Linked DNA regions of Schizosaccharomyces pombe. The protein of the gene in region 3 interacts with the protein of the main gene of each other region in a pairwise test. Each region holds a gene or a part of one and is shown on either strand. Other genes may lie near its edges. The genes, in order: isu1, bis1, nup211 and cdc23.

Region 1 (6,422 bases), on a different chromosome or scaffold from region 3:
TTGTGCTATTTTGTTTTATAAGAGACGCATTGGGATATACACAAAAATATTCATGCTTTCCAGCATAGAATAATGACGATAATTTAGTTTTTTCAGTTTTTTCTTTAATTGAGTCAATGTCGCCCTCTAATATTGACACATTACTCCATTCAAACGAATATTTAGGATATTCATATGCCTACAAAGGAAGTCCGTTAGAATTGAAGAGAAATTAGGTTCAAGAGCATACATCATTCCAGTCTAACAAAGAAGCTAAACATATTGGAAAAATAAAAAACCCCACAAAAGCAAATGGTAGCACCATAGTCCTAACTTTAGATGAGCCGATTGCAGGTAGAATCAAATGTGGAAACATACTTGAACTGAACATATGCGTTATATCACAGTATACCGAAGTGCGCAAAGCTCGAACAATTTACAAAAAGCTAAATACGATAGTGCGTAAAAAATAGTAGTTTACATTAGAGGTAAGTGTTACACGAGATTGTTAACATGAATGAAAACGAGGGCATTTCACTTGGTGAATTAGGTACGTTGCTACTAGAAGCATTAACTCCTCCTTTTAAATTTTAAACTAATAAAAAACTTTAGAAACAAGACCGTTTTCAGAAGGGATAACGCGGTTTACAAAAGAACAAGCAGCTTATTACGCGGAGCAAAAGGAAAAGGATCGCATTAAGGCTCTTAAAATTCCTTATGAAGATTCCAAAGTTCGTGAATATCTGCGTCGTTATGGTGAACCCATAACTTATTTTGGTGAAGATGCCTTAGCCCGACGCCAAAGGCTTCAGCAATTAATGATCGAAAAGTCCCTAGAAGGAGACAATCCATTAGATGTAGACCAAGGGGCTTCTGAAAATATTGAGAAGGAGACGTATGTTCAAGGAAGTCACGAACTATTAGTTGCTCGTAAAAAAATAGCTCTTTACTCCTTGGAAAAGGCAAAGCTCAGATTAAAAAAAGAACGGGAAATTTCCGAGATTCCAGTACCTGAAATTGTACTTTCCGGAAAGTCTTCAATCGAACATTTACAAAAGGCTGAATTGATGGGCTCTCAGATAGGTGGTGAGCGACCAATAGCCATTGTTAGATTCAGTAATAATGGAAATCATTTTGCTAGCGGAAGCTGGGGTGGCCAGGTCAAGGTGTGGAATTCTGATAACCTCTCAGAGGTTCAATTGTTTCGCGGCCATACCGACCGAGTTTCTGGTTTGGATTGGTATCCTCTATGTCAGGCATGGGATGCAGATTCTGAGCAGCTGACTTTAGCGACTGGAGCCGCAGACAATACTGTTTGTTTGTGGAAAGCAAGTCAATCTACTCCACTGTTACGTTTGGAAGGACATTTGGCTCGTGTTGGTCGAGTTGCTTTTCATCCAAGTGGTGATTACTTAGTTTCTGCCTCATTCGACACTACATGGCGGTTATGGGATGTACATACAGGCGTTGAGTTGCTTATGCAAGAAGGTCATTCGGAAGGGATTTTTTCAATCGCCTGTCAGCCAGATGGGTCGTTAGTTAGCTCAGGTGGTAATGATGCTATCGGTCGGATTTGGGATCTTCGATCAGGCAAATCAATAATGGTATTAGATGAACATATTCGTCAAATTGTCGCGATGGCTTGGAGTCCAAACGGCTACCAACTTGCAACTTCTTCAGCCGATGATACTGTGAAAATATGGGACTTGCGGAAAGTGTCATTGGCACATACTATTCCCGCACATTCTTCTCTTGTTTCAGACGTTCGTTATATTGAATCAGGTGTTAACAGATTCATCGCTACGAGTGGTTATGATGGCTGCGTAAAGCTTTGGAACCCGTTGAACTGCTCATTGATTAAAAGTATGGTGGGACACGAAGAAAAGGTTATGAGTGTTGACGGTTACGGAGACAGATTTATCTCATCAGGATACGATCGTACAATCAAGTTATGGTACCCTTAAATTTGGGTGTGGCAAACGGTTTTGGTAATGAGTTTAATATAGGCAAGACAGTCCTTTCTGACTATTTGCGTGATGGGCAACGAAACAATGAATATATATGAACATTTATATTACATGGTTTAATAGCTAGAAGATGATATTCATGTATACTACTAAAGTTTAAGCAAACACAGAAACAGCTTATAGTTTAGAAATAAAAGACTCTAAATTATTTTTCATTAGACGTATAAAGATTCGAATAAAATGCTATAGCAGGAACTAAAAAAAAAGGAAGGGGAAAATGTACAGAGTAATGATTTTTATAACCACAATAACAAGCAAATAAGCATCAGCAGCATTTTGAAAGAAAGCACTTGCATCAATTTAGTCCAGATACATATAGTGCAGAAACATTAATCAATATATATTGCTAAATGGGAGGAAGAATGCAAGCAAACACATAGACCATATGTTTACGCCAAAGTCGACAAGCAATCTTATGTGGAAAACACTGTTTACATGTACGCAGTTTAGGAATTAAAAGGACCGGGTAGAAAATTAGGAGGCGGGGTCAAAAAGCGGAGCGGAAATTAGCAGATTTTTAAACAGATGAAAGCTATGACTTTACAATCAAGTTTCTAAGCGGTAGCAGACTCAATAGCGCCAGCAGTTGTACCAACAGGCGTTAATTGTTTAGAGCGATAATGCTTTACAGCGCTTTTAATGGCATCCTCGGCAAGCATGGAGCAATGAAGTTTTACAGGAGGCAAGCAAAGCTCTTTGGCAATTTGGGTGTTTTTAATTTTAGAAGCCTCCTCAAGGGTCATGCCCTTGACCATAGTGGTAACGTAGGATGACGAGGCAATTGCACTACCACAACCAAAGGTCTTGAACTTTACGTCCTCAATAACACCATCCTTATTGACACGAATAGCAAGGCGCATAACATCGCCACAGGCGGGAGCACCTACCAAGCCGATACCCACATCGGGATCACCTTTGGGCAAAGTACCCACATTCCGAGGATTGTTGTAATGGTCTAAAACATTCTTATGGTACATACGACGAGAGACGTTTGCGGTGACTTGAGGGACGAATTTTGACGAGTTCGTTTTGAGAAACTGTAAATTCGCTGGACGGGCAAGAAGAGAAGAGCGTTGAGCCAAAATTGAAGGCAAAACGCCAACGCATTGAACGGAGCGACGGAAGACACTCATTTTAGGGAAAACAAAAGAAAAAAGAAAAAAATCAGATGACAAATCACGTCAAGATCTAACAAAATATCTGTATCACAAATCCAACTAGATTTGTTTTCAAAACGTATCAAGTAAAAGGCTTGAGTACGTTTTCAGTGTTTTTGGGGGATGGCAGGGAGTTTTCAAAGTTTCAGATTTTATCTGATCTATATAAAAAAAAATAACAGCTTTGCCTTTAAATCTCCTTATACGTAAATGACGTTAAAAAGTGTGTAAGGGTAACGCAAGGAAATTTGTAAACCGGGTTAATAAGATGACAATAACTATGTACACTCGATGAAAGGAAAAATCGATTCAACTATGTATCGACAATAAACAATCAAGACGTGGTTGAAAAAAATCGTGTCAGAGTTATGTAGTCTTATAGCACACAAAACGAATTGCTTTATTCAATGAAATTATTTTTCAAAACAACTTTAAATTTATGTTCAAAACGTCCAATATTAAATGTTGGTGAGTTGTATGAGTCAGTAGTGTTTGAGAGCAGTGCCTGCTATATATAGTGCAAGTCAGTCTTGAGTGTTTTCGGCCATCTTTATCTCATCTGATATGAGAAGAAATTCTGTTTGTCGAAAATGTGACTGTTTTTCCCTAACAAATCACAAAGCTAGCTTAAGGTGGATGGTAGCGAATAAAATAGGGAAGGCAATAGTGGCAAGCGAATCGGAAATGCGGTTTCAGCAGTAAACGCCAATTAAGGGACTAAAACGTAATCCGGTATTACTAGATTTACGAAGAAAAAGTTTTGGGGAGGCCACAACAAAGCAGTCTGAAGCTTATGCAAGTATGATGTACAGCTAGACAAATAAAGTTGTTTTCCATACACAATATGGAAATTCCAGTGTTCGATGGTGAAGGATATGTGTTCACAGTATATTCGAAACAAGGTTGTGGGATGTGGGATATGGAAATTGGAAAGAAGATGCCGTCCCCCTTTAACTGAGGAAGGAATATCAGATAGCAGGCAAGAAGTAGTTAGCGAGAAAGAAAGTAGTCAGTTAGGGAGTACAGGTGGAAGGGACGGCATGAGACAGACGGCAGAGAACGGGTAGGGTGCTTGTATGTTTAACAAAAATGATGATGAAAAGTTGGTGGATGCACGACTAGAAGCTGGGATACATGCTTGAACGGTTTTTTGGTTTCCATTTGTTTATCTGTTTTGCATTTATTTCGATATGTAATTAGTTGCTGGTTTGGATTATACATGTAAATAAAAAAGGTGTAAGGATAATCTTTCAAAAAGAGAAGTTTGTATAAGAAATGGTTAAGCCGTTTTTATTTTTTTTATTTTTTTTAATGCACCTCTTGCACTGCGTATGTTTTTTTGCAACAATCGATCCCGATAACATTGCCAAGGCCGCTAACCTACGATCATACTTTCCAATAGGCAAGAGCGAGTCCATAGTTGCTGGAACTAGGGTTCCGCATCACGGAATAACGGAGCTGGGCGAAAAAAAAAGGAACAGGTTGCAAAAAGGCACTATACATTTGATGTGTAACAAAGTAATATTCGAAACAGTCTATTTCACCAATAACAGTTTAGCGGTCTAACGGTTTTTTTAAAGGATGACTAGTTTTTTACAGCATTCAGTAAATTAGCGATATAACATTACTGCGCCCGTCATCCTTAATTAAGATAGGAAGGCCGTTGGAGATTGCAATAAAGTAATGGGCCTCCAAGCAATTGAGGAGTGTGATAAATATGAGAAATTATAACTATTTTTTAAATTTTGTTTTTATTATTTAATGTAAATATCGGTATTTCGAAATTGAATCAGTGGTATCTGAGACTTCTCTTAATTTTATATCTCACATGCTCCACAAGTGTCTTGGAGTGTATAGCAACAGAACTCAAGAACGTTGAATGTAACGTAGTGCAATGCTATTCATTCAAATTGGTAAATTTTTGATTGTGCATATTAACGTTACATTGCAATATATGTTGAGGATGCTGAAGTTGTATTGCATTTTTTAAAAATAACAGACTCCTACGGATTTATCCTTTGCTGCGCTATAATTTAGTAGCTTAGAAATCGTTCTATCCAGCTTGTAAAGCGAAGCAAACGCAACTTTGCGTATTGTGCGAATTGGACTCATGCTTGGAATTTCGAAACTTAAAAGGGATTCGGCTTTGAGCATGAGATCCCCACACTTGTCTTCTCTCCATCAAAAGTTATTGTGAATTTATCTTCAAATCGGGAATTAATCATTTGTAAGTGAGTGTTTACCTTTACAACGTACTGGTAAACAGAAGATCAATTATAATAAACATCTAGTTTGGTATGAGAGATATTTGATGCTAATCGTGTTATCATAGATTAGCTGTATAATTGAAATTTATTGTTTTTTTTTTCTTTTAATTCCCTCTCTTTTATTGCAAAACTCATATTTAACTTTATTGTTTGATTATTTCATCCCTTACGCTACTCATTCATCTGCTGTATGATAAAATGGCTTTACAAGTAGATGCCCCAGATGTATCGTCTTATGACGAACTTTACAACCGTGCAGTTGAATTGTTGAAGCACCAGCAACGAGTTCTAATCGGTTTGGCTGGAGGTCCTGGTTCAGGCAAGTCAACATTATGTGCTATTCTCGCAAAGGCATGGAATGAAAGATTTGGATCGGAGATCGTAAAAATAATTCCAATGGTAAGTTTTTCTGTTACTATGCGAAATGGAAATGAAATGATAATACGATTTTTTTGTGATTCTGGCTAACATTTTTTAAAGGATGGCTTTCATTATTCGTTGGAAGAGCTTGATCGATTCGACAACCCAGAAAAGGCCCGGGCTCTTCGTGGAGCAGAATGGACGTTTGATGCAGACTTATTCTACTCCTTAGTTCGGCTTATGAAAAAGATCACTGACAGAGAGCTCTATGCCCCTTCATTTGATCATGCAATTGGTGACCCTGTAGTCGACGATATTTGCGTTGAGCCCAAAAATCGAATTTTAATTTTTGAAGGTAATTACCTTTTGCTCAACAAACCTCCATGGTCAGACGCATGCAAATTATATGACATTAAGGCATACCTCCCTGTAGAGCACTCAGTGGCCCGTGCTCGTGTTGCGCATCGTCACTTGGTTTCAGGATTATGCGCAACAGAAGAAGAGGCAATTGAGAGGACCGACAGAAATGATATGATTAATCTCACTTTTGTCGAGAAGAACATGGTTACCCCAGATATTGTATTACAGCAGCTACGTTTGAAAACCGTTAAAACATCTAGTTTGTAATGTGT
Region 2 (6,147 bases), 1.1 Mb from region 3:
ATATGCTTGAGTGTCCAAAATGGAAGACGAACTGCGTGTTAGCGGTCAGTAATGGTAACTCCATAACTTCACATACCATATAGTAAAAATAAAAGTAAAGCAGCTGAAATACTGCATGTAGAACAGATGAGAGCCTTGTCTAAGTTCAAATTACCGAATTTGGCGCGAAGAAAAAGTGTATAGCAAATGACTACCCATAATAGCCAAATTATTACTACCCATTTTTCCCTTGAGTTGTACAAGCCGACCGCAGTTACCTTTACACATTTTGCCAAGAAAACTGCAGTCACTTTTACACATTGTGCCAAGGAAATTACAGTTACTTTAACTGCCTTGGTCCAAGTTTCATAGAAGTCTGATGAGTTAGTGACTGAAGGTAAGAATAACCCCATTGTCTCACTTACAAGTCAAGAATATTAAAGCCAAAGTGCAAACAAAACACCAAAATCCAAATAATGTCCATTCCACTGCACCATAATTTTTAAAAAAAGCGTCCTTATACTTTAGATAACAAACTGCTGGAGCATTGAATAGAATGATTGAAGTGAATGATATTAGCAGTTTTATCAACAAAGGGGAAGAATTATCTGTCGTCCCAGAAGAATGGTTTTCTCTATGTGTGTTAGGAGGATTATTTACAAGTGCGTGATCTGTTTAAATTAATATGATTGAAATACTTTAGTAAAGAAAGAGCATGTATCAAATTGTGTGCATTGCATGGCCGACTGTAAACAATGACCAAAGCATGCAATTTGACAAGATGGCAAGTTTCAACTTTCCATTGAGTAATTCCTTTCTTATTATTTACAATTCTTACCTGAATATGGAGGTAATGCGCCCTCTTCCTCCGAATCATATTCTGGGAGTGGTCCTTTTTCCAAATCGATTTCATGATCTGTCTTCAATTCATCTTCTTCATCTAGAGGACTTTTCAAAGAAGTGTAATTATTCTTCATTTCATCAAGATCATTCTTTATTTAATAAAACACATGCGCGAATTAATTGCTATGATTGCGACAAACGAAACAGCAAAATCAAGAATATTCGCTCTGTAGTCCAATTCCAACCACTTCAAAGACTTTTTAACAAAATAATAAAATCGTTCAAACAAATTTCCAACTAATTCCTTCAAACAATGGCATAAAAAAAGAAGAACGAAAAAACTGAACGAGGCAGTGGATTGCTTCTGACACATTTATTCTGTCACTGCCTTTTTATTCACCCCAACTTAGCTTTCCTTATGTTTCATACTGTAATAATTGTTACAGTACGTTGCGGGTCACTAGTTTCGTATTTGTAAGATCATCTTTTTTAATATAGACATCAGTTAAGAACAAAGATTGGGAAGATTATAAATGGAATTACAGCTGCGTCTCATTCCTCAGTTCAGTTATTAGCTAAATCGGTAACTGATACTATTAGACATCCCTATAACAATAAATATAATATTCTTAGTTAACAAAATGCATACCGCTATGCTGTAGTTTCACAAGAGAGTCATTGCAGTTCAATGTATCGTTAAACAGATATCAAACTGCGTAGCTGACAATTTCATTAAAATGCCGCCCTTAAATGGAGAATTGAGTAGTTCAGTATCGATCATAATAAAGTGGCTTTTGTATATGAGGCTTTACTTAAATATGTAAATTTCCAAGCCTTCAATAACATTTCAAGTAGTATAGATTATTATTATTATTATTATTTTTTTTTTATATTTAATTTTCCTTAGGAACCTAAGTGGTTTGGTATCATCTACGATGTTAAAGTTGGCGGCAGTCATAGCTTGATGTAGTAACGAGAGATTCTCTTAAATTTACATTTAATTAAGCATTCATTTATTGGTACAAAGCATAAAATTTTACTGAATTGTGCACTAGTAAGCTCAATTACTGCTTCTGCCTGAGTATCCTAAGTAGCTATAAGTTTGGCAGAAAGAAATTGTTATTGCATTTCCAAGTTCGTGAATTTCGAGATTTGATTATTTTAGTATTTTCAAATTCCATTTTTACAATCATCTGTAAAAGCAGGCGTAAAACACTCCTTCCTTTATTAGTTCCATTATTGCTGTTAAGTACATATTAACTACTAGGAGGAATTCGTGAACCCTTCTAAAACGTGCTTCTGTGGAGAAGAATAAGTGAAAATGGTAAGAAAATATTATTATTGTTATAACTTATAGAAGGCTTATACTTTAATAGAGTGAAGAAATTATAACAGAAAGCATTGTAAAGAATTTTGGTTCTGCTGAAACATCAGTGGGAGAAAAGCAGCCGAAACGAAAACGTTCAGAGGTGCGAGCTGAAAAGTTAAAAGCACGAAAGCTCCAAAAGGCAGCAGAGATTGTTCAAAAACAAAAAGAGAATAGAAAAATTTTAAAAGACGTTTCTTTGAAACGTTTGTCAAAATCTCTCGATCGAAGTCTTCCATCAGAAAATACAATAGATCAGATTTCTTTTAATCATGCTATGTCGGAAGAGGATGCTTCTGGTTATCAAATTGGTGATAAGCATAAAAATTTGCTTTTATATAAGCTTTCTTCCTCTTCAGGATCTGTTTTTACGGAGAACCTATACTCAACTATTCAAGAGTTTTTATCTGCTCAAAAGGTTGATATTGCAGACTCTAAAAATACCTATGTTTTTGGCTCTACGTTTGACAAAAAGTCACATGCATTAGTGAAAACCTCTGATAGTGTGAGGTCCCTAAAATATGGAAGCTTTGTAAAAGCATGCGCACCTCTGTTTCGCTTCGCAAGTGGAATAATCAAAGCGCATGCACCACATTTCCACCAGGCTTTATTAAAACTTGAATTGGCTCCTTCAGCTTTAAGATTTGGCGTCTTTCCTAACTTCTCTCTTCAAAGCGTTTCTAACGGCTACATGTCTATGGAATCTAATTTCTCCTCTATTAAATATGGTTTTGTTGTGATTATCATCGTAGGGGAACTAAATGATGTTGAGTTAAAAATCCCTGCAATTTCTCATTCTTTAAAATTAAAGGATGGTAGCATTCTTGTTCTCCGCTCCTCTCTTTTACACCAGTGGTATTCATTACCAAAGCAAAGCATTTTATATGAAATTCGTCTATTCGCAATGTCTTCCCTTTGGCATTACGAGAAAAATAAATCCATAAAAATTGCCAAAAAAGATGATATTTGAACTATTCATCAGTCGAAATGAAGTTTTATTTTTCACTAAAGTGTCGAATGTTGACATTACGAGCAAGGTTGGTAACACGGTCGGTTAATTAATAAATTCATATATTTCATACCATTTAAAAGCTACTATAATTTCTAGAAATCATCAATAAATTAAAGAATGTACAATGCACTTATCATTATGCTTGCTCTAGTTAATTACTACATAAACTAGACAAGTCCTTCATTAAACCCTTTTAGGTGTAGGGGCAGTCGATTTTACCCGCGGGGTAGGAGTCCATGAGAATTTGGGAATGGAAGTCCTTAGGGCGGTGTGACGAGAAGCAGACGGAGAAGAACCATGTAAAGGTGATCTGAGATACGAACGTGCGACAAGACGTCGGGCGGCAGGAGTTAAATTGGTCAGTTTTCTGGATACAGAGTTAGGAGTAGAATAAGAATTTAAAGCAGTTGATGCAGAATCCACTGATGTAATGGTGGTATTCGTGGAGTGGGAACGAATATCGCGCACTCTCATAGCATGTAGTCTCTCTCGTCGAGGCCGTTCTGGGATGTTGAAGTATGATTTCGAAGAGGATCCCACTGCTTGTCCAAAATTAACATCAACTAAAGGATATCCATTGACAGAAGCATCAGTCTCATTGACAGACGGGGGGACTATTGGGTCCGTACTAGGTTGATTGGCTGCTTCTAAAAAAGACTGCGATAAGCCAGTTGCATCCGCTTGAATTTCAGTGCTTTGCTTTTTTATCTGAGACAGGGATGAAGAATGGTTAGTTTCTGGAGTATACATTAAGGCATTCTTTGGCTGGTAGTTCCAAGTTTTAATACTCTTGTCTTTCTCTTTCCATGCAATTGACTTGATTGCATCAGAATTTGAGTAACCAATAGTTTGAATGGAGTTAGATGGCTGTTGTGAATGGACCCCAAATCGTCGTTTATGCTGTTCAGCTCTCAATCGACTCTCATCTTCCATTAGCTCTCCAAAAGAGGCATTGTCTTCTGATGTGAACTTATTTTGATAGGAAGCAACGCTAATCGGTTTATTTTCTCCATCCAGCTGTGCTTTGGTAATCTCATGAATAGCTAACGATGGAAGCCTCTTTCTCAATGGATCTTCTGAGTTTTTAGCAATGAGGTATTTCAATTTTTCATCCCTTGACTCATTTTGTGCATCAAAACTTCCTACTTCTTCACTTTCGAGCACGACTTCAGCCTTCAGCTTAGGAAGGTCAGGAAAATATTGTTGTTGAATTATGTAGCTTAAACCCTCGATGTAGTCATCTTCTTCAAGTGGAATTGGTTTCTTGTACGTTTGTTCTTTATTCACAGGTTTTACTAACTGTTTTTCATCATCATCGATCTTTTTTGCCAAGGACATGTATGCAAGATGTTGGCAATTGGTAATTTCCAGAAGTGTGGTAGGGATGCCTAGGACACCGACATGAAAAGCAACTAAACAAGGTTGTGAGGTTTTAGATGGTTAGCAAAACAAATTATTGAATTATTTTTCTTTCTCATTAAGAAGATAACGATTGCTCAATTGCTCAAATTTGGCTATTTACCTATTTACTGTTCTACAGTTAAGGCGTACTTACAATTACAAGTAAGTTATGGGGATTAAACAGCGTCGACCCACTAACTTTCAAATTGATTATTTTAATTACTCTGTTTTAGTAGAACATCAGATAAAATTATTTTATTGATTTAAAAAAAAATACTCTGTCATTGAAAACATACATTTCTTTCATCACAATCACAACTAGCGGCCTAAGAAACTGTTTTTGTTGATTATCTATTTCACCTACCAAATGTACTTGCATCAACATTTTAAACATGGTATCTATTTTTCCTTGTATATCATAAAGTAGACTTCCAAGGAAAATAAAACTCTGCTATTTTTCATTGAGATCGTAGTTTGATAGACACAATTTGAGTATTCATAGACCTAATTCATGTACAATATTTATTTACTCAGAAAATAGTGCTATACTAAGGTGCACGGTCTAGCTCGCAGTATACAAATAGCAGAATACGTTGCAGCACTAGTTTTACCAATGCACCACCAAACAGTACTACCCTAAAAAACAGTCACAGAGAATCCTAGACAAACGCTGCCATACAAATTTTGTACTGCGCAAACGCCTTGACAAATTGTAAATTAAAGATGGTCCGTTATTCTGCAGCTCCTGCTCTTGAGACCAAATGCGCCAAGGCTCGTGGTGCCTATTTGAGAACTCATTTCAAGAACTCTCGTGAAGTTGCCTTTACCATTAATGGTATGAACTTGAAGAAGGCCTTCATCTTTCTTGACAACGTCAAGGAGCACAAGCAAGCCGTTCCTTTCCGTCGTTTCAATGGTGGTGTTGGTCGTACTGCCCAAGGCAAGGAATTTGGCGTTACCCAGGCTCGCTGGCCCGTTAAATCCGTCAACTTCTTCTACGACCTTTTGAAGAATGCCGAGGCTAATGCTGAAGCTAAGGGTTTGGACATGGATAAACTCATCATCAAGCATGTTCAAGTCAATGCTGCTCCCAAGCAACGCAGACGTACTTATCGTGCACACGGTCGTGTCACTGCTTACCTTTCCAGCCCTTCCCACATTGAAATCATTGTTGCCGAAGAGGAGGAAGCAGTTCCCAAGGCTAATGACACCGTTTCCCGTGTTTCTTTGAAACAAGGTGCCAAGGCTAGAAATTTGGCTGCTCGTAAGGCCATTACTTCTGCTTAAAATAGATTTTGAAAAAGGTCGTCCCTATTTGATTTTACGAATGGATTCGGTTGTAATATGAGTTTCTTTTTCATTTCCTATTTATGTTGTGGGTAGTCCTTAGAAATTGACTGTAATTTTATAAAAGTGTCTTCTCAATAATAACAGAAAAAAAAATCTATACGAAAGCAAACAAGTAGCTGGAATGTTACCAAAAGAATAAATTAATTAGATTAAAATTAAAAAAAAAATAACAAAACAAAACAAATGAGTTCCATGG
Region 3 (10,359 bases):
TTGTAATTCGCCGAACGGTCGTCTCCCGTTCATCTAGGACGAAGACACTTGAAAGCTCTAATTGCCCCGTCTATCATTACGATTACTCTAGGGTTTTGAATGCATGTTGTGAAAACGTTATAGGTTACATGCCCTTGCCCCTTGGTGTAGCTGGTCCTCTCATTATTGACGGTAAGCCTTTTTATATCCCTATGGCTACTACTGAGGGTGCATTGGTTGCTTCTACTATGCGTGGATGCAAAGCTATTAACGCTGGTGGTGGTGCTGTTACTGTATTGACTCGTGATCAAATGTCCCGTGGACCATGTGTGGCTTTCCCGAATTTGACGCGCGCTGGTCGTGCTAAAATTTGGTTGGATAGCCCTGAAGGCCAAGAGGTTATGAAGAAGGCTTTTAACTCTACTAGCCGTTTTGCTAGACTTCAACATATTAAGACTGCTCTAGCTGGTACTCGTCTTTTCATCCGTTTCTGTACGTCTACCGGTGATGCTATGGGTATGAATATGATTTCCAAAGGTGTTGAGCATGCACTTGTAGTAATGAGCAATGACGCTGGTTTTGATGACATGCAAGTGATCAGTGTATCAGGGAATTATTGTACAGATAAGAAGCCTGCTGCTATTAATTGGATTGATGGTCGTGGTAAAAGTGTTATTGCTGAAGCTATTATTCCTGGTGATGCTGTCAAATCGGTATTGAAAACTACTGTTGAAGATTTGGTTAAATTAAATGTTGACAAAAACCTCATTGGTAGTGCTATGGCTGGCAGCGTTGGAGGATTTAATGCTCATGCTGCTAACATTGTCACGGCAGTATATTTAGCAACTGGTCAAGACCCTGCCCAAAATGTTGAAAGCAGTAATTGTATAACTTTGATGGATAATGTTGATGGTAACCTTCAGCTTAGCGTGTCAATGCCATCCATTGAAGTTGGAACAATTGGTGGTGGAACGGTTTTGGAACCGCAAGGTGCTATGCTTGACTTGCTCGGTGTGCGAGGTGCCCATATGACCTCTCCCGGTGATAATTCTCGTCAACTAGCACGTGTCGTTGCAGCCGCCGTAATGGCTGGTGAACTGTCTTTGTGTTCCGCACTTGCTAGTGGCCATTTAGTTAAATCCCATATCGGACTCAATCGAAGTGCGCTGAATACTCCTGCTATGGACTCTTCTGCCAAGAAACCAGCGACTGATGCTCTAAAATCCGTTAACTCTCGAGTACCGGGACGTTGAGGGAGCAAGCTTGTTTTATAATATTGTCACATACACGATGATGACAAATTTTTTTAATTTTGATCTCCCCTAAAAAGTTACATCTTTGAACTGTTATGCCTCAGGAAAATTAGCTTTAAATTCTTTTCCATTTTTTATATATTCATCTTTTAAAAGAATATGGTATATCCATACAAGTATGTAGTTTACCTAGTGAACGCTGATTTATAGCTTAGGTAAGAAGACGTAAGGCAATGTATATTGCTTATGTCTAGTGACACAAACAAATGGATTATATTATACGGACTTATATTAGTTATCTCAATAAAGAATTTAAATAGATTTTTAATTGTAATGGTTTTATGACTTGAAATTGAATTTATTAGGGTATCAACTACCTCGTCGCTACACACCCATCGACTTACATTGCACCACCATAATAGGTAAGAACGTGTTTCAAACAAAGGTAGCGTCTCTAAACTGAAAAAATAGTTAGAAGCTATTTGTTTGAGGCAATGCACGATTCTTCCTGGACAGAAGCTGATATACTCGGGGTATGCAGTTTTCTAGACATACCAAAGACAAAAATTGATCCTTTACTTCAGGTGGACGCGTTTACATCCATATTAATACCTTTAATTAGTAAAAGCAAAGATTATGAAAGTATAAAAAATGATCGTATAGTTACAGAAGTCAATTACGAGCAACAATTGCGAAATTCGGAGAAGAAACTACTTCAATCAAACGAACGTTACGATTTATTAGAGGATGAGCGCAAGCTTTTAGAGAATGAACTCTCTCAAATCAAAGAATATCTTAGGGAGAAATCCTCTTCATATGACACTGTTTTGCACGATTGCAGTTCTCTCAAAAGTGTAAATGAGGCATTAAAACAAGCTCAGGATCAAAATTTGAAGCAAACTGCTCAACTTCAAAATCTTTTATCAGATAAAGAAAAGGAAGTTGAAAAGAAAATCACTATCATTAAAGATCTAAAGGATGCCCTTGCCAGTTCTACCCATCAAGTTTTGGAGCTTCAACATACACAACAAGAAAAAGCATCTTTGCAGACTAACTATGAGTTTGAGTTGCAAAAATTAACGCAGAAAAATTCGATTTTGGAAAATAATAACACCTGGTTAAGCCGAGAGCTTCAGGGTGTGAACGACAAATTGTTATCTCTTCATCAGGAGGCCTCTTTGGAAAAGTCTCAACTAAGTTCTCAATTATCTGACGCTGTTTTGGAAAAAGATGCGCTACAACGGAAAGTGAGTTCTTTGTCTCAACAGTTTACAGAAAGTAATTTACGATATCAGAATATTGTAGCTGAACTCTCCGAAATGCGAAAGCAATATGAGTTTTCGCAAGTTTCTTTTGAAAAAGAGATTTCTTCACAAAAGCAAATTAGTGAGTTGTGGATGGAGAAATGTGAGGATTGCTCTTTACGGCTCAAAGAGTTGCAGAACTCAAACGGCGAGTTGGAAAAGCTATTGGAAGCTGCACAATCATCTTTTGAAGAACAGCTTGAATCTCATAAGGAAGCAGAAGCTTCCTTGAAATCTCAAATCAATTTTCTAGAGAAAGAGGTATCAAGTTTAGAGTCTCAGCTAAAGTTGGCTAATGAGCGTCTTCGGCATTATGATGAAATAGAAATCTCAGATATGAGTGAATTGAAATACTCAAATTTACTAAATAATAGTATGAAAGGCTTTAAAGGTCAGTCCTCCGTCTCTGACTTGTATTCCGAGCGTTTATACTATAAACAGAAGTATGAGCAAACATGTCAAGAGGTTGAAAGGTTACAACGTAGCTATAACCATGTTATGGAAGAAGCGAATCTTCAGCATCCTTTGGTTAAAGAACAGTTTAAGCGATTTGCTCATATGCAACGGGAAATTGTTGCAATGAGTGAGCAATATCAGAAGTCATTGGAAGACTGTCAGAAAGCCAAGTCCCGTTACGAGCAATTAGAGACACTATTTAAAGATAAATGCACAGAGAATAAGCATTATGAGCAAGAGACCAAAGATTTAGCGCGACAGGTGCAAGTTTTACTTCATGAACTCGATTTGTGTGAGAACGGCATAGTGCTAGGCGTGGATAGTAGAAAGAAGATTAACTCCTATGTTGAAAAATCGCTCACTGAAGATGAAACTGATACGGATCAAATAATTTCAAGCAGGCTAGTTGTATTTCGTAATATTAGAGAATTGCAACAACAAAATCAAAATCTACTGTCTGCAGTTCATGAATTAGCTGATCGTATGGAGAAAGACGAAAAACCTGATCTTGATGGAGCCGAGATTCAAGAAGAAACACTGATAAAAGCTAACGAAACTATTGATCAACTTACTAAAATGTTGGAGGAGGTGAGCGATCAGTTACGCTACTCTTTAAAGGAACGAGACTTTTTTAGATCACTAGTTCAAGAGAATGAAAAACTTTTAGATATGGCGCCTGCAACTCCTAATTCCAAATTGAATACTAATTTAATTGAGCAGACTTCTTACCAGCGTTCGCTTATTCGACTTGAACAGCTAACTAATGAACTGGAGTCCCTTAAGTCAATTTCTCGTAACAAAGAAAAAAAGTTTGAGGAAGCTATCTCATCTCTCCAGCTCGAAAAATCTAATATTCAATTGCAACTTACCTCTTTAACATCTGAACGAAGCTTAGCCCTTGAAAAGCTAAATGATCTGGAAAAATCACTTGTTTTATCTGAAAGAAGTAAAGATGAACTTGATGAAAGCTATAAGTCTTTACAAGAGCAACTTGCTTCTAAGAAAATTGAAGTTCAAAATGTTTCTTCTCAATTATCAATCTGTAATAGCCAGCTTGAACAATCCAATCATATTGTTGATAATTTAAAAAGCGAAAACCTGCTTTTAACTTCCGTCAAGGATAAGTTGAAAGCCGATTTATCTAATTTGGAGTCGAAACTTTCGTCCCTGCAGCAGGATAATTTCCATATGAAAGCTCAAATTGAATCTTCAAATCAAGAGTATACGGCAACAGTGGACTCAATGAATAGTCGAATACTTGAACTTTCTAATGATCTTCGAGTTGCTAATTCAAAGCTATCTGAGTGTTCCGATGATGTTCGTAGACTTACTCTACAAAATTCATTTGATTTGAGGGAGCATCAAACATTGGTGCTTCAACTTCAGTCTAACATCACTGAGTTAAAACAAGACATAACATTGCAACGCACCGTGCGAAATCAGTTAGAAATACAAACCACTGAGTTGAAAGAGCGCTTAAAGTTTATGGAAGAACGGCAGGAGAACTTGCAATCTAAATTAATCGCGGCTAATAAAGACACGACACAAAATCCTGATAATGTTGAAGTCGAGGCTATATCTATTGAACTGGAAAGGACGAAGGAAAAACTTCGCATGGCCGAGCTTGAAAAGAGTAATATTCAACAAAAATACCTCGCTTCAGAAAAAACCTTGGAAATGATGAATGAAACCCATGAGCAGTTTAAGCATCTAGTAGAATCTGAAATTAGCACAAGGGAAGAGAAAATTACGTCCCTTCGCTCTGAGTTGTTGGATCTTAATAAGAGAGTTGAAGTACTAAAAGAAGAGAAAGAGTCTTCGTCCAAGGAACTTGCCAAACAACTTGAGGATGCTGTTCGTGAAAAGGATAGTGCACTTTCTTTCAAAAAAGATTATGAAAAAATTCGTTCAGATGCGGATCGTGTTATTACCTCTTTGAAAGAAGATATTGAAAAAGAAAGATCTCTAATGAAGGAGTGTCATTCTAATTACGAATCAGAGATCGTTAGTCATGGGCGTACCACTCAAAAATTGCGGGATTTACGTACTGAATTTGACGAGGTGAATACGAAATATTTAAAGCTCAAAGCAAATTTTGAACAGCAGCACTCAGGACTTTCAGGTGCTGAAAAGGATTGGAATATTCAGCGGAAAGCCATGGAAGATGAAATTAGCTCCTTGAAAGATTACATTTTGGGACTTGAAAATCAAAATAAACTACTACATTCGCAATTTGATTCTCTTAGTCAACAAATAACTGTTCTTCAACAGAATTCTTCTGAAAATTTAAATATATCTGCCAATTTAGAAGCCGTTCAAGATAACGATTTACGTGAACTTGTTAGCTACTTGAGGCACGAAAAGGAAATAATGGATAATAAATATGAGTTAACAATTCTGGATAATAGAGGTTTGAATCAACAAGTCAAGTCTTTGCAATCCACCGTTGATTCATTGCAACTCGAGCTCAACCGTCTGCAGTCTCTGCCTGTGTCAAATGACCAAACAGATACCCCCATTATCAGCGGAAGTCAAGAAGTTCAGTTACTTTATGAAAGTAATAGTGTCCTTAGAAAGGACAATGATGCTAAACTTGGAAAAATACAAGAGCTGGAGAAAGAGGTTGAAAAACTGAATGCTTCATTGAATCCCTTACAAACTGAAATAAATGAACTTAAGGCAGAAATAGGCGCAAAGACAGCAAGTCTGAACTTAATGAAGGAATACAATTCTCGATGGAAATTAAGATTTCAGTCCGTTTTGAACAAGTATGAGCGTGTTGATCCCACACAGTTAGAGGAGTTAAAGAAAAATTGTGAAGCATTAGAAAAAGAAAAACAAGAGTTGGAAACGAAACTTCAGGAGACAGCAAAAGAAACCGATACATTTAAGCAACAGGTTAATTCTCTAAACGAAGAGGTGGAAAATTTGAAGAAGGAAGTTGAGCAGGCAAACACCAAAAATACTAGATTGGCAGCTGCTTGGAATGAAAAATGTGAAAATTTGAAAAAATCCAGCTTAACAAGATTTGCCCATCTAAAGCAGGAATTGACCAACAAAAACAAGGAGTTAACCTCTAAGAATGCTGAAAATGAAGCAATGCAAAAAGAAATAGAGTCTCTAAAGGATTCCAATCATCAATTACAAGAATCGGCTTCCAGTGATGCTGAACAGATCACGAAGGAACAATTTGAACAACTCAAGTCGGAGAAGGAAAGAACTGAAAAAGAGCTAGCAGATTCTAAGAACGAGCTAGAACACTTGCAATCTGAGGCTGTCGATGCTGACGGTAAAACTGAAATTTCAAATCTTGAAAAAGAAATTCATGAATTACGGTCTGACAAAGAAGGACTTGTGCAACAAGTACAAAACTTGAGTGCGGAATTGGCAGCTTTACGAGAGCATTCACCGACCCAAGGAAGTTTAGAGAATGCTGATGAGATTGCAAGGCTACGTTCACAACTTGAATCTACGAAACAATATTATGAAAAAGAAAAGGAAACCGAAATTTTGGCTGCTCGCTCTGAACTCGTCGCAGAGAAAGAAAAGACAAAGGAAGAGTTAGAAAATCAACTCAACGAAAAGTCACAGAGAATAAAGGAACTTGAGGAACAAGCTCAAAAAAATTCTTCGGAAAATACTCATGACAATATTGATGACATGATTAAGCAGCAGGTTGAAGAAAAGCTTAAAGAAAATTCTGCCAACTTTGATGTTAAGTTGAAGAAGGTGGTAGCTGAGACAGAATTTCGGAGCAAAGCTAAAATATCTGTGTATGAGAAGAAAACTAGGGATCTTCAGAACAAAATTACACAACTTGAAGAAACTATTGAGAATTTGAATAAACAGCTATCCAATCCTGAAAAGACTGATGAATCTACGTCTTCTGTAACAGAAACAAAGCCTGTTACTTCCAAACCAACAGCTAGCAAAGCTGATGTTGGTCAGAATGCTACAGAAGCTTCGTCAGCCAAGAGAGAACCTTCCGGTAAATCTCTGAGTGCAAGACTTCAAGGAACAGGCAAACAAAAAGGTGTTCAACGACCCGCTGTTTCGCGTCCTGTTCCTATGAAACCAGACAGTGGAAAACTCTCAATAACTGGAGCTTCCAAACGAATTGCTACTTCAAAGAATGCTGCCCAAAACGCTAAAGAACTGTCAAGCACTGCTAAATCCGGCTCCCTTAAAAGACAACGTGACGATGCGAACAAAGGAGGATCCAGTTCGAACCAAAAGAAAGCAAAATAGATGTTTTCATATGGTTCATAAATCACTCTTAGGACTATTCATATTTAGTTAACATGATTTATAATAATGACATGAGTAAATTTTGTATTATAAAATTTTTGTCTTATTTGTATTTCTGATTCTTACACAGACTGGTTTTTGCTATTTCTTGATTTTGCAAAGTAAGTACTTTTTCGACTTACTTATTCCATTATTATTAGAGATAAGATAAGAAATGCACGCTAAAAAGTAAATTCACTACTTAAAAATGTTACCACGACTATTTGCAGAAGTACAAATTCAGTCAAAATCTACATATGAGTAAGAGAACAAATGTCAAAACTAGAATAGTTAAATTTAAATGGATTGTTAGTCCATGATAATTACAGAGAATAAAGTGAACTAAAAAACTCGGTCTTAAACAAATTGCGATAACTTTATACAACAAAAAAGAGAAGGACCATCATTAGGACGTTCATTAGGAACAAATAAGGTCGGAAGTGAGTGAATGGATTATAAATCAATTAGAGAGCCAACTTGGGGCTGCATAGATTGCTGTTGCATGCCCTGCATCGGTTGTTGATTTTGGTAATTGTAATTCTGTTGATTATAATAGGGTTGTTGCATGTTTTGTTGTTGCTGCATCGGTTGTTTATAATATCCGGTAGCTTGTTGCGATTGGAAAGGATTATGCGTGTTACCGGTTGCCTGAGCTTGAATAGTCTGACCAGCACTATTTGTAAATTTGGATCCTGTGTGTTGAGTCGGAACTCTGGTAAGACCAATATTACCGAAACTATCAGTTCCCATAGGATTACCAGTGGAGATTGCTTGAGCAATGTTAGAAAATCGATCGTCACCAGTCCGAACGGGTTTCATGGGTTTAGTAGCAGGAGCAGTAGATTGAGATGGCAAGTTTGAAAATTGAGCAAAAGGATTATTTGAGCCAGTCTTCGTAGGCTCCAAACGAGGAGCAGATTGTTGTTGTTGTTGCTGAAGTATTCCAGTCGATTGTGACTGTAAAGGACGACTGTAAGGATTATTGTTTCCTGTATAGCCGGTAGTTTGCCGTTGTAATCCAGTGGGCTGGGGATGAACATAACCAGTGTGGTTGGGAGCCATCATTGGAGCATTAGGGGTTTGACCAAAGCCTGTACGCTGAGGTTGCATGACAGGGAAAGGGTTGTTGGACTCAAATGGCTGAGAAAAGCCTGTACGTTGGGGTTGCATCATACCAGTACGCTGGGGTTGCATATACCCAGTAGGTTGGGGATTGAAGAAACCATTTTGCTGAGGTTGAACAAAACCAGTACGTTGAGGCTGTATAAAACCTGTTGCCTGAGGTTGAACAAATCCTGTACGCTGAGGTTGCATGAAACCTGTTGCTTGAGGCTGAACAAACCCTGTACGCTGAGGTTGCATAAATCCTGTTGCCTGAGGTTGAACAAATCCTGTACGCTGAGGTTGCATAAATCCTGTAGCTTGAGGCTGAACAAATCCCGTCGCTTGAGGTTGGACAAATCCGGTAGCCTGAGGTTGAACAAAACCAGTACGTTGAGGCTGCATAAATCCAGTGGCCTGAGGTTGGACAAACCCGGTATGTTGAGGTTGAACGAACCCAGTGTATTGAGGCTGTACGAACCCGGTATTTTGAGGACGGATGAAACCGGTGGGTTGTTGTTGGAGGAAACCGGTTGGCTGTGGCTGAACAGGATTTCCAAAGAAATCGACAGGTTGATAAGCATTTTGCTGATTGCCCATAAATGCCTGTTCTTGTTGTTCACGTTCACGTTGATGTCTTTGACGGGCTTCGTCTTCTTCTTTGGAAAGTTGGATGGCCTTTTGAAGCTCAGCTTCCGAATCGTTAGCCATGTTACGACGCTTGGCATCTTCTTCGGCCTGACGTTTAGACTCCTCAATAACACGTTGTAATTCTGGATCATTTTCCTCGGCGGAGTTGTGTTCAGCGCTCGGGGAAGGCCTTCTACTTCTTCGTCTTGAGCGTGAGCGACCAGGACGGCGAGAACGACTACGTCTCCTTGAGCGATGGTCACGATCATCGTCATCGTAACGACTGGCCCGACTGGGAGCGCGAGAAAGTCGTGATTCCTCGTAGGGAGCGCGATCATCATCATCATCGTCAAAGCGAGAGGAACGCGTTCTGTCTCTATCTCTGTCTCTCTCTCTACTATCACCTCTTGCCTCCTTCAAAGCGTGCTCGTCCTCCAACAAAGAAGTTATTTCTTTAGCCTTGGTACGAACGTTTTGGCCTTGATCATGACCATTGTCGTCAACGTAGACAAACTCACGCAACGTTGTGATAATATATATATTGTCTTTGGCCCACCGAACAACGTTTTCCGATCCATTGTGGAGACAATACTCGAGCAAGGATAACGATTTGAAAACATGTCGCCAGTTCTTTCCTTTGTCATTCAGACGACGATCTATAATGTCCATAACTTCTAGCATTTCATTTTGGTCATAGGTTAGCTCTGCTATCTCCGCCATGGCAGTGCCACTGGGACCCCATGAATCATTTGTAGTAGCATTTCTAACCTTAATTTGCGTATCTGTGTATCCCTTGGAAAAGTTTTTTCTGCGAATGTTAGTAACAATTCATAGAATATTGAATGGAGTGCATCCAAGTACGTGTATGCTCAGCACCACATGAGAGATGAGGTGTGTCAATCGGGCACGTACGCAGCAGGGAGGCAAATCAAGAAAAACTAGAAATCAATGAAGAAGAAGAAGCAAATTTCAGATGAGATGATGGGGAAGATAGAAAAGAAGGATTGAACGACTTTCCAAGTTATTCCAACTTCTTTTCACTATTCTAATGATATGATAAAAAATACTAGACTAGAAAGTACAAAATTACGCCAACAAATTATAAGCTAACGCTGAAAATGCCATGGCTATGGAAAGAAATGATAGATTGAATAAAATCCAATTCTAAAATCACCCAAAGCATGCATTTCATCAGCTTTTTGGTCAATTGAACAAACTTTACGCTCCTTCATCCCCGCTTGATGGGTTTTCCGCGTAAAAAAATCATCCAAACGCCTCAATTCTGCGACCTCTTTCTCTTCTACCATTCTTGGGAATTCCCTCTTTACTTACACTGATCGTACAGCAGC
Region 4 (7,414 bases), on a different chromosome or scaffold from region 3:
TGATTCTATTTCTGATCTAAAGTCAGATGCTACGTAGCAACATTTTTCTTTAATTTCCCGGACAATTTCTTTCTCCGCCGAGCTGACGAGTTCGTGGCCAGATTTTCGAAGTTGCAATTGCAAATAATCTGTAACGTCACGACCTCCAATTTCCTCTTGTTGTATAGCTGATGGAATGGAAAACCCATCATAAATAGGAACACTATGAGTCAAGCCATCTCCACATTCAAGAACAATGCCAGTTGTACGTGCGGAGGCATACAGTGCCAATACAGGCTGCAAGGAAAAGCTCAATGCTGGAACGTTTAACGTTTCATAAAAATACTCTGCAATTTTTTCTTTGTTTCGGATGTTAGCCAAAGGAGGTTCGGTTAAAAGCAAGGGATGTTCTTCCGGTAAAGTATTGAGCTGTTGATCTGAATAAATATAGCTCCAAATCTCTTCCATATCGGACCAATTTTGGATGATTCCCCGTTCAATTGGACGTTGAATTTTAAGCAACCCGCGAAGATTTTGAGCCTCAGAACCAACAAACATATCTTTTTGGATACTACTTGGCATGACACGCTCATGCTTAATTCTTCCAACACTGTATATTAGTATCTAGTATGAGAAATAAACTTCATACCAAGTCGGAAAAAGGCATTTGGGAATATCATCGCCAGCGAATCCAGCTTTAATAAATCCAGAGCCCTAGATAGTTTTGTCAATATAACTAGACAGTTTAACAGGAAATAGCCGGCTAAAAAGAGTCTGGCATACATTGTCGATACATATCGGCTGATTATCAAAGCTAAAACGCGTCAATAAATAGAATTCTTTCAAAAGACACGCACATTTCAGTAACAGTCATCCAAAAAGCTGAAATATCAAAGTTGAGACTCGGAGGTTTTAAAAGAAAGTTTTATTAAGGGTTTAAATTATTCTTTAAGCGGCTTGAAATTTGAGAGCACTAGCAATAATGAAGGAAATGGCGGGTAAACAGTAATAGAAGACGCAACTTTGAAGGTTTTGGGCTTTGCCAAGAAATTTTATACTAACAGGAGGAACAACAATCGTACCAATTTTTTAAAAAAATACCTTAAACCAATGGAAATTGGTCACTAACAGCTATTAGTTAAAGCAATTGGGAATTGTCTAAAGAAAGTAGCATGCTTGACAAGAAACTTAGCAGTATTAAGCTTCGTTATGTATCACTATACCCTGCAATTATCATACATAAGTTGTTTCATTCAATAGGCTTTTTGAATGAAAACCATATAAAGAAATTACGACAACCCTTTCGATTGAATTTGTTTCTTCAGTTGAATTGTAGTATATGCTTAATAATGGTTATGTTTACATCTTGGTTAGACCCATCATAAAGCCGCTCGTACTCGTAATTGTTGTTGAATGGATTGTAAAGAAGACTGTACAAAATTCACTGCATTTTTAACGTGTTTTCGAAATAACTAATCAAACTATCAAAAAGATAACGTATCAACACTAAACCGCACTACTTTATAAATTGCACATCGGGTTGCTTCTTAGCTAGACGGAAAGACAATGCTGACCTTGTCTTCATAATTGTTTACAATCTTCCACCATTCATCTACTCATTAATCAGTAGTAATGTATTAAAATAAACAATTTCTATTTTTTAATTATACAAACAATTTCCTATTCTGAATCTAAATGTAACAGTTGTATCGCATTTGGCATTTCTTTTTTGTAATCCAGCAACCGAAAATTCAATCAAATCAATGTGACCATGGCGAATTGGATATAAAATAACAAAGATTAAGGTGGAAACTTCAACTTTATCAGCGACTATCATTATAGTCAACAAGTAGACAAACTAATAATATAAAGACTAACAAGTCTTGGGGGTATAAACTAATAATACATATGTCTTGCCTCATTTAAAAATGGTAAAAGCAAGGAACCGTTCACGGCTTATATCGATAAACATTCTAAAGCAGGGGAACCAATGTGTTGAAACTGGTAATAAAAAGAGGGATGGGGGTGGTAAAAGAATTCCAATAATCGAAATTCCTTAGAAAAATAAAAATAAAATCCATGTCTTAACAATTACATCAAGAAGAGTAAAAAAAAAAGAAAAGCGAAAATAACGAATTAAAAAAGATTGCATTGTTAGATTGTTTAATGCTTTTATCGAATAAGATAAAACATTCAATTTTCCAATTTTTTGTTTTCCCTTTTTATTATTTTCTTCTGATCATAACGGAAATCGGGTTTTCTTCTTGTATACAATATTCGGGTTTAAGCGCTTACTTCCCAATCAAATGCACCCTTTCTTTGCTCAGCTCCCCAATTAGGAGAGTTCAAGTCATCTCTGACAGTTTGAACGTAAAAGGAAAGAGGTTGCTCTTGGTCGTTACAGCTCATAGCCGACTCAGAGTTAATGCCGATATCGGTGGTTTGATCAGCAACATTGGATGCGGTAAAAGACCAACCATTCTTAGTACCGTCAACACGGGAAGCAACACTAGTAGAGAAGGAAAATCTTGAAGCCGTTGCCTTTAAAGAGGTAGCGGCTAAAAGAGACTTGGAGATGACACCTTGTTTAAGAATAGAAAACATAGCGATGAATCAAAAATGTTTATTGATGAAATTAAAAAGAAAAGAAAATAACAGTGATTAAATAGAAATGTGTAGAATAGAAGTATCACCGTTCGCAGATTTAATTATCGAGACGTCAGCGAAGAAAGAAAAAAAAAATTTTCTTAACTAATTAAACCAACGAATAAAAAATTTTTTTTCTGAAGATGACCGTGTTGATCAAACCAATATTCTTTATTGTTCACTAAAAAGAATATCAAAAGAAGTATTTAGTAGTAGCTAAAATGTATTAACTTTTTACTTTAGAATGTCTCGCAATTGACTTTGATTAGACACTGTTTAGGTGGGACGCAACAATTGTTGGATGGCGAGGTCTCTTAGATGGAAGCCCGCATTTATATAGTTTTAGACTATTTATTTGCCTTTTCCTTTGTGACGAATTCAGATAGCTTTCCTTACTGATAAGAATGCGATACCCGTTCCATACGGCGCAACGTTAAAATAGGCGACTAGCAGTGTAAAGTCCGATACCTAGACGAAAGCAATCGTAAGCTAAAGGTGTCGACAGTACCTCAGTTTGGCTGGCTATCTTAGTATTGCTTACAAGCCCATCATACCATATGAAAGTAAGCTTACGTTCGTTTGATTAATAAACAATGTGATGTCAAAAGCTGTAACGGCCGTTCTTGTATGAGAGAGAAGCTAGCAGAACAAAAAAGGGAGACTTCGCACATTGAATTCAAACAGTTGACATCACAAATGAAAAGAGCGACTGTGTTTAATAAGCGTTTCAAATATTCCATTGGGATTTACTAAGGATTAGGATTTAGAAGAAAGGTTTAACAAAGGGTTGAAAGTTTCATGATAGCAAAGTGTGTCGCATGTAAACAAAAGAACATTCATTTGAAATCATAGCTATATCCATTAGCTAGCTAATTAATTAGTAAGTTGGTTAGTAATTTAAATAATTAATTTTCATCATAATGTATAGAAAAACAACGTAAAATTCAGGGAACTATTTCTAAGTCATCCTCATCATCACTCTCAGTAAATTCATATCGGAATTTGATATTTTTTAGGGAGCCGGATCGTGAAAGTCCAGTCGCTGTGGAGTGCGTTGTAGATGCATCTGCGGAATGCGTTGGATCGAAACCTATTTTTCGTAGACTTTGGGGGGAAAAAATCCTCGGCGAAGAGGTAAACACTACCGCTGGGGAAACTTTGGTGGATGTAGTATCTTGTGGAACGGGTGTCCCTGATGCCGCATCGTTAGTGCCGAGAATAGCAGAGTTAGAAAAAGATGGTAGAGAGGATTTAGGGTTCATTATAGATGCATTAAAAGAGGCCAGAACGGATGGTTTTTTCGTCGATGAATCAATTTCGCTATCTTTAGAAAGAGCAGTGGGATTACCCTTGTCATGTAAATTTTTAACGCCGGAACCTTGTAAATTTAGATACTGATGGCCGAGTGTTCGCATCGACATTCCCGTAGAGAGGTTATTCGAGTTAGAGCTAGACGAAGAGGAAGCGCAACATCGCTTCGATAATCGCACCAAAATTTCACGCTCGCGTTCAGCCTGCGCTCGTTGTTTTTTGTATCGTTCCTTGCGCTCCCTCTCGGTCTGAACGGCGTCTTCTGCATCATACAAACCAGCTACTGCGTTAGGAATTGCGGAATACTTTTCCCCAGCAAAGTATCCTTGGAACCCTTGTCCACGAAATCGCTTTTCACGTCGTGCGCGAGGCTCGTGCATAGTCGCCATACTTGAAGCAAACTCCGTTCGCGTAGACATGGACCGCTGGACAGCGAGGTCAACGTGATATTCACATACATCTCCGGCACGCTTGTCGAGCCAATGTTTACATAGTTCACCGCTTTTTCTTCGGCTGGAACAATAGCCAAGGTGTTTGGAGCGACCAATCTCTAAAAGTACATCGTACTCAGAATCCAGCTTCAGAGAAAAGCGTCCAATGTCTGGGTTCTTTGGCTTTAGTACTTCAGGATTGAGAAGCGCAATGACAGTACCACTCTGGATCTTCCAGTATCGTTCAAACGCCTTTCCAAACAGGAAGCACTCCAGTTGCCATTTCAAGTCAGTCAGTGTTAGCATACAATATTTATTCCCATTCACAGTTTCTCTGGTTCCACTATTACTGGCAACAATGCCCATAACTACATAGTTGTCAACTTCTGGCGCTTCAAATTTAGGAGCTCTTACTAGTTTGAGTAGTTGGTGAATGAGATAAACTTGATTTCCCCCTATATTTTCCTTAGCAACCTCATCACTTATGTATCGAATAACAATGGCTTGTCTTGAATAAGGATCGATTTCATCACATTTCATAGGAAATTTCTCCTCTTCACTTTTTCCATCTTCAAGTATGTTTCGCTTCCTCTGGAACGATTGCTTTCTATTTTTTTTCATCGTTTTCAATTTATCGCTCCTCTTCCTTTCTTGGTTCCTTGCCTCTGCAAGTCGTTCGTGAAATGGTTTTGGTAGAGGCCCTCGAGGCCCTTTTCCTAATGAAACATCTTTCCCCGTCTTTCCTTTATCGATTCCTAATATCAATCGCTTGGGACTTTTTAGTTTACTAGGCGAGCTGACTGTAAGGACACGAACTTGCTGAGGAGGAGATCTTGGAACCTGAATAACTTCAGCGTTCTCCGAAGAAGCCTCCTTTTGAGCACTTCGTAGACGCTTCTTTTCTTGAATTTCATTTAGCTGCCTCTGTAACCTCTTTTCTTCCAGGTCCAAGTCATTTTCTTCTGCAATGAAGGGATCATGCATACTTGCATTAATTAAACTTGGTTTCCTCTTAATCTTAAACCTCCAAAGTCAATGATAAAAAAAACCCCCCGCCTGTTAGATATAGTCAATTTCTCACGAATACTGAAACTTTTCAACCCAACCCTAGAAAACTAGCTTTTCAGGAAATTAAAAAAACTCTGATCAATAAAATTTTCTTCTCTATTGTATGAGTAGCCAAAACAAATAACAGGATAAATTTAATACTGCCACATTTGTATTTTGAAATGCGAAGATATTGTTGAAAAGTTTAGTGCCAAAAACAGGAAATTCTTTAGTCCTGGAAAAGGAAGCAAGTAATAATTATAAATCTTTTTAACAAGATATTCTTATTTTCCAATACTTAAAAATCGCGGTTAAACATATAGGAATGTAAACAGTTAGCGGACATCTAAAGGACATGTGTTTAAGGATGCAAAATGTAGTGCATAAACAAGCATAATGTGCAAAATTAAATCCTCTCTATACTACACATGCTATAGGTAAACAACATAACTGCAGTTTGAATAATAAAAGGTTAAAATAGATGCGCTAATTTAATGAGTATACACGTTCGATATCACGAATTCATTTACATAATATAAACTTACGATATTTGTCTATATAGAATCATAAAAGATGTGTCTACAGTATTCAAATGCATATAGTAACTTATTTAAAAGGGGTATTTTGAACAGTTAAATTTTAAACGTCGAACTTTTTTTTACATTTGGTGGAAGAGATTGCCTAGTTTCCGTTGTCTATTCAAATTTGCGCTTAATATTAAAATCTTTGTGACAACAGTTGGCCAGTTCTTTTGAAACCAACTTATGAAGAAAAATCATATAACGAAATTTCCAGTATTGTATAAAAAAAGCCTGTAATCCCACATAATATTTGGTTGATCATATTCGAAATTGTCGTTTCAATGAAGTTTAGTCCTTTCTGAATGCTCAGTATGTAGTTTCGTTTAAATGAATCACCGGGACTCACAGTGTTATAAGTTATCATAAGCTATCAATTTAATGGACATCAATACTTGTTTAAATGAAGCAATTCCTGGTCTGATTGCTTCACCTTCTAAAATCGGGTACCCAGACCATTCATTTGTTTATCCCTAATTAAAAATTAAGGGGATCATGTTTTGATACCACTAATAACCATCAGCTGTAATTTTACCTCATACAGCTTCTCTCCGTTAGCTAAATCTAAGGTTTTAGCGTCTTTTGACTGGGTTGACCGTTGATACTTAGCTTCATCGACCCACACATTTGCCTGAGCTTTACCAATGACTTCAGCGTTTGACAAAGATGCATTTTTGAATAAATTCAAAATTGATTGCGGAGTAAATCCACCATGATGAGCTACGCCAAGCTTAGCTATTTCATCAGGATGCAAATTACCATGAAAAGTATCACCCCCCTTTATTAAATCTGCGACAAATAATCGACCATTAGGTTTTAAAAGTTTAGAAAGCTTATTAGTCACTTCCTGTAGGTCCTTGATATGATGATATGCCATGGAGCATACAACAGCATCAAATTCAGTAGAAAATGGTTCATCGCCGTTGCCATCCAAATCATCCAAACTTAAAACATATGCACAGGCTCTTTCTTTGGGAATGTTCATCTTTCTAAATTTTTCATTATAAACGTCCACCATGTCTTGGGAAACGTCTATGCCAACAATTTGTTTACAGTAAGGGAACAGGTGTTGGCTAATTAAACCAGTTCCACAAGCAAAATCCAATATACTCATACCACTTTTCTTCCAAAAATTATTTACATTTGTCAAATCATCATCCGAAGTTAAAAGCAGCCTATCTTGATCATATTTTGGGAGATCATGTCTTAGGCTGGTTTCGGAATTGTCTTCAAACTGTAAAATTTTTGAAGAAATCACTTTGGAAATCGCCAAGGTACTTGGATTGTCATATTTCGATGCTTCTATTTTGTTGTAATGAGACACGTTGGCATAAACTATATCCGACATGATATTTTAGTTCCTTTTATATTGTTAATGAACGGTGAAGTCTTGCTAATAGGAATATTAAAAAAAAAGATAAT

What was found.
Region 1: the proteins of nup211 (region 3) and isu1 interact in a two-hybrid assay, tested with the Schizosaccharomyces pombe proteins (2 studies listed by BioGRID).
Region 2: the proteins of nup211 (region 3) and bis1 interact in a two-hybrid assay, tested with the Schizosaccharomyces pombe proteins (3 studies listed by BioGRID).
Region 4: the proteins of nup211 (region 3) and cdc23 interact in a two-hybrid assay, tested with the Schizosaccharomyces pombe proteins (2 studies listed by BioGRID).

What each region holds. Positions count from the first base shown.
Region 1 is NC_003424.3:515,305-521,726, forward strand, and holds isu1 (Fe-sulfur cluster assembly protein Isu1), read right to left. Parts: upstream 3,648-6,422; 5' UTR 3,140-3,647; coding exon 2,561-3,139; 3' UTR 2,112-2,560; downstream 1-2,111. Other genes in the region: putative misfolded glycoprotein sensor Yos9, read right to left, coding at 1-178, 230-304; rna4 (Prp4 family U4/U5/U6 small nuclear ribonucleoprotein complex subunit), read left to right, coding at 493-529, 592-1,943; yfh7 (uridine kinase), read left to right, coding at 5,629-5,829, 5,911-6,417. UniProt on the Schizosaccharomyces pombe protein: Scaffold protein for the de novo synthesis of iron-sulfur (Fe-S) clusters within mitochondria, which is required for maturation of both mitochondrial and cytoplasmic [2Fe-2S] and [4Fe-4S] proteins.
Region 2 is NC_003421.2:481,976-488,122, reverse strand, and holds bis1 (splicing factor Bis1), read right to left. Parts: upstream 4,553-6,147; 5' UTR 4,539-4,552; coding exon 3,384-4,538; 3' UTR 3,226-3,383; downstream 1-3,225. Other genes in the region: wtf antidote-like meiotic drive suppressor Wtf9, read right to left, coding at 1-31, 77-355, 405-650, 818-956; calnexin independence factor Cif1, read left to right, coding at 2,144-2,146, 2,199-3,158; rpl1702 (60S ribosomal protein uL22), read left to right, coding at 5,325-5,888. UniProt on the Schizosaccharomyces pombe protein: Has a role in maintaining cell viability during stationary phase induced by stress response. May be involved in pre-mRNA splicing.
Region 3 is NC_003421.2:1,563,916-1,574,274, forward strand, and holds nup211 (nucleoporin nup211), read left to right. Parts: upstream 1-1,634; 5' UTR 1,635-1,726; coding exon 1,727-7,240; 3' UTR 7,241-7,335; downstream 7,336-10,359. Other genes in the region: 3-hydroxy-3-methylglutaryl-CoA reductase Hmg1, read left to right, coding at 1-1,232; ent1 (epsin), read right to left, coding at 7,733-9,818, 10,343-10,359. UniProt on the Schizosaccharomyces pombe protein: Functions as a component of the nuclear pore complex (NPC).
Region 4 is NC_003423.3:4,077,376-4,084,789, reverse strand, and holds cdc23 (MCM-associated protein Mcm10), read right to left. Parts: upstream 5,734-7,414; 5' UTR 5,352-5,733; coding exon 3,570-5,351; 3' UTR 3,226-3,569; downstream 1-3,225. Other genes in the region: centractin family actin-like protein Arp1, read right to left, coding at 1-589, 629-693, 763-793, 837-853; SPOM_SPBC1347.14C (uncharacterized protein), read left to right, coding at 2,146-2,511; protein sro1, read right to left, coding at 2,263-2,583; SPOM_SPBC1347.09 (hexaprenyldihydroxybenzoate methyltransferase), read right to left, coding at 6,486-7,340. UniProt on the Schizosaccharomyces pombe protein: Required for DNA synthesis. Required for entry into or completion of S phase. Involved in DNA replication and seems to participate in the activation of the pre-replication complex (pre-RC) and in transcription elongation.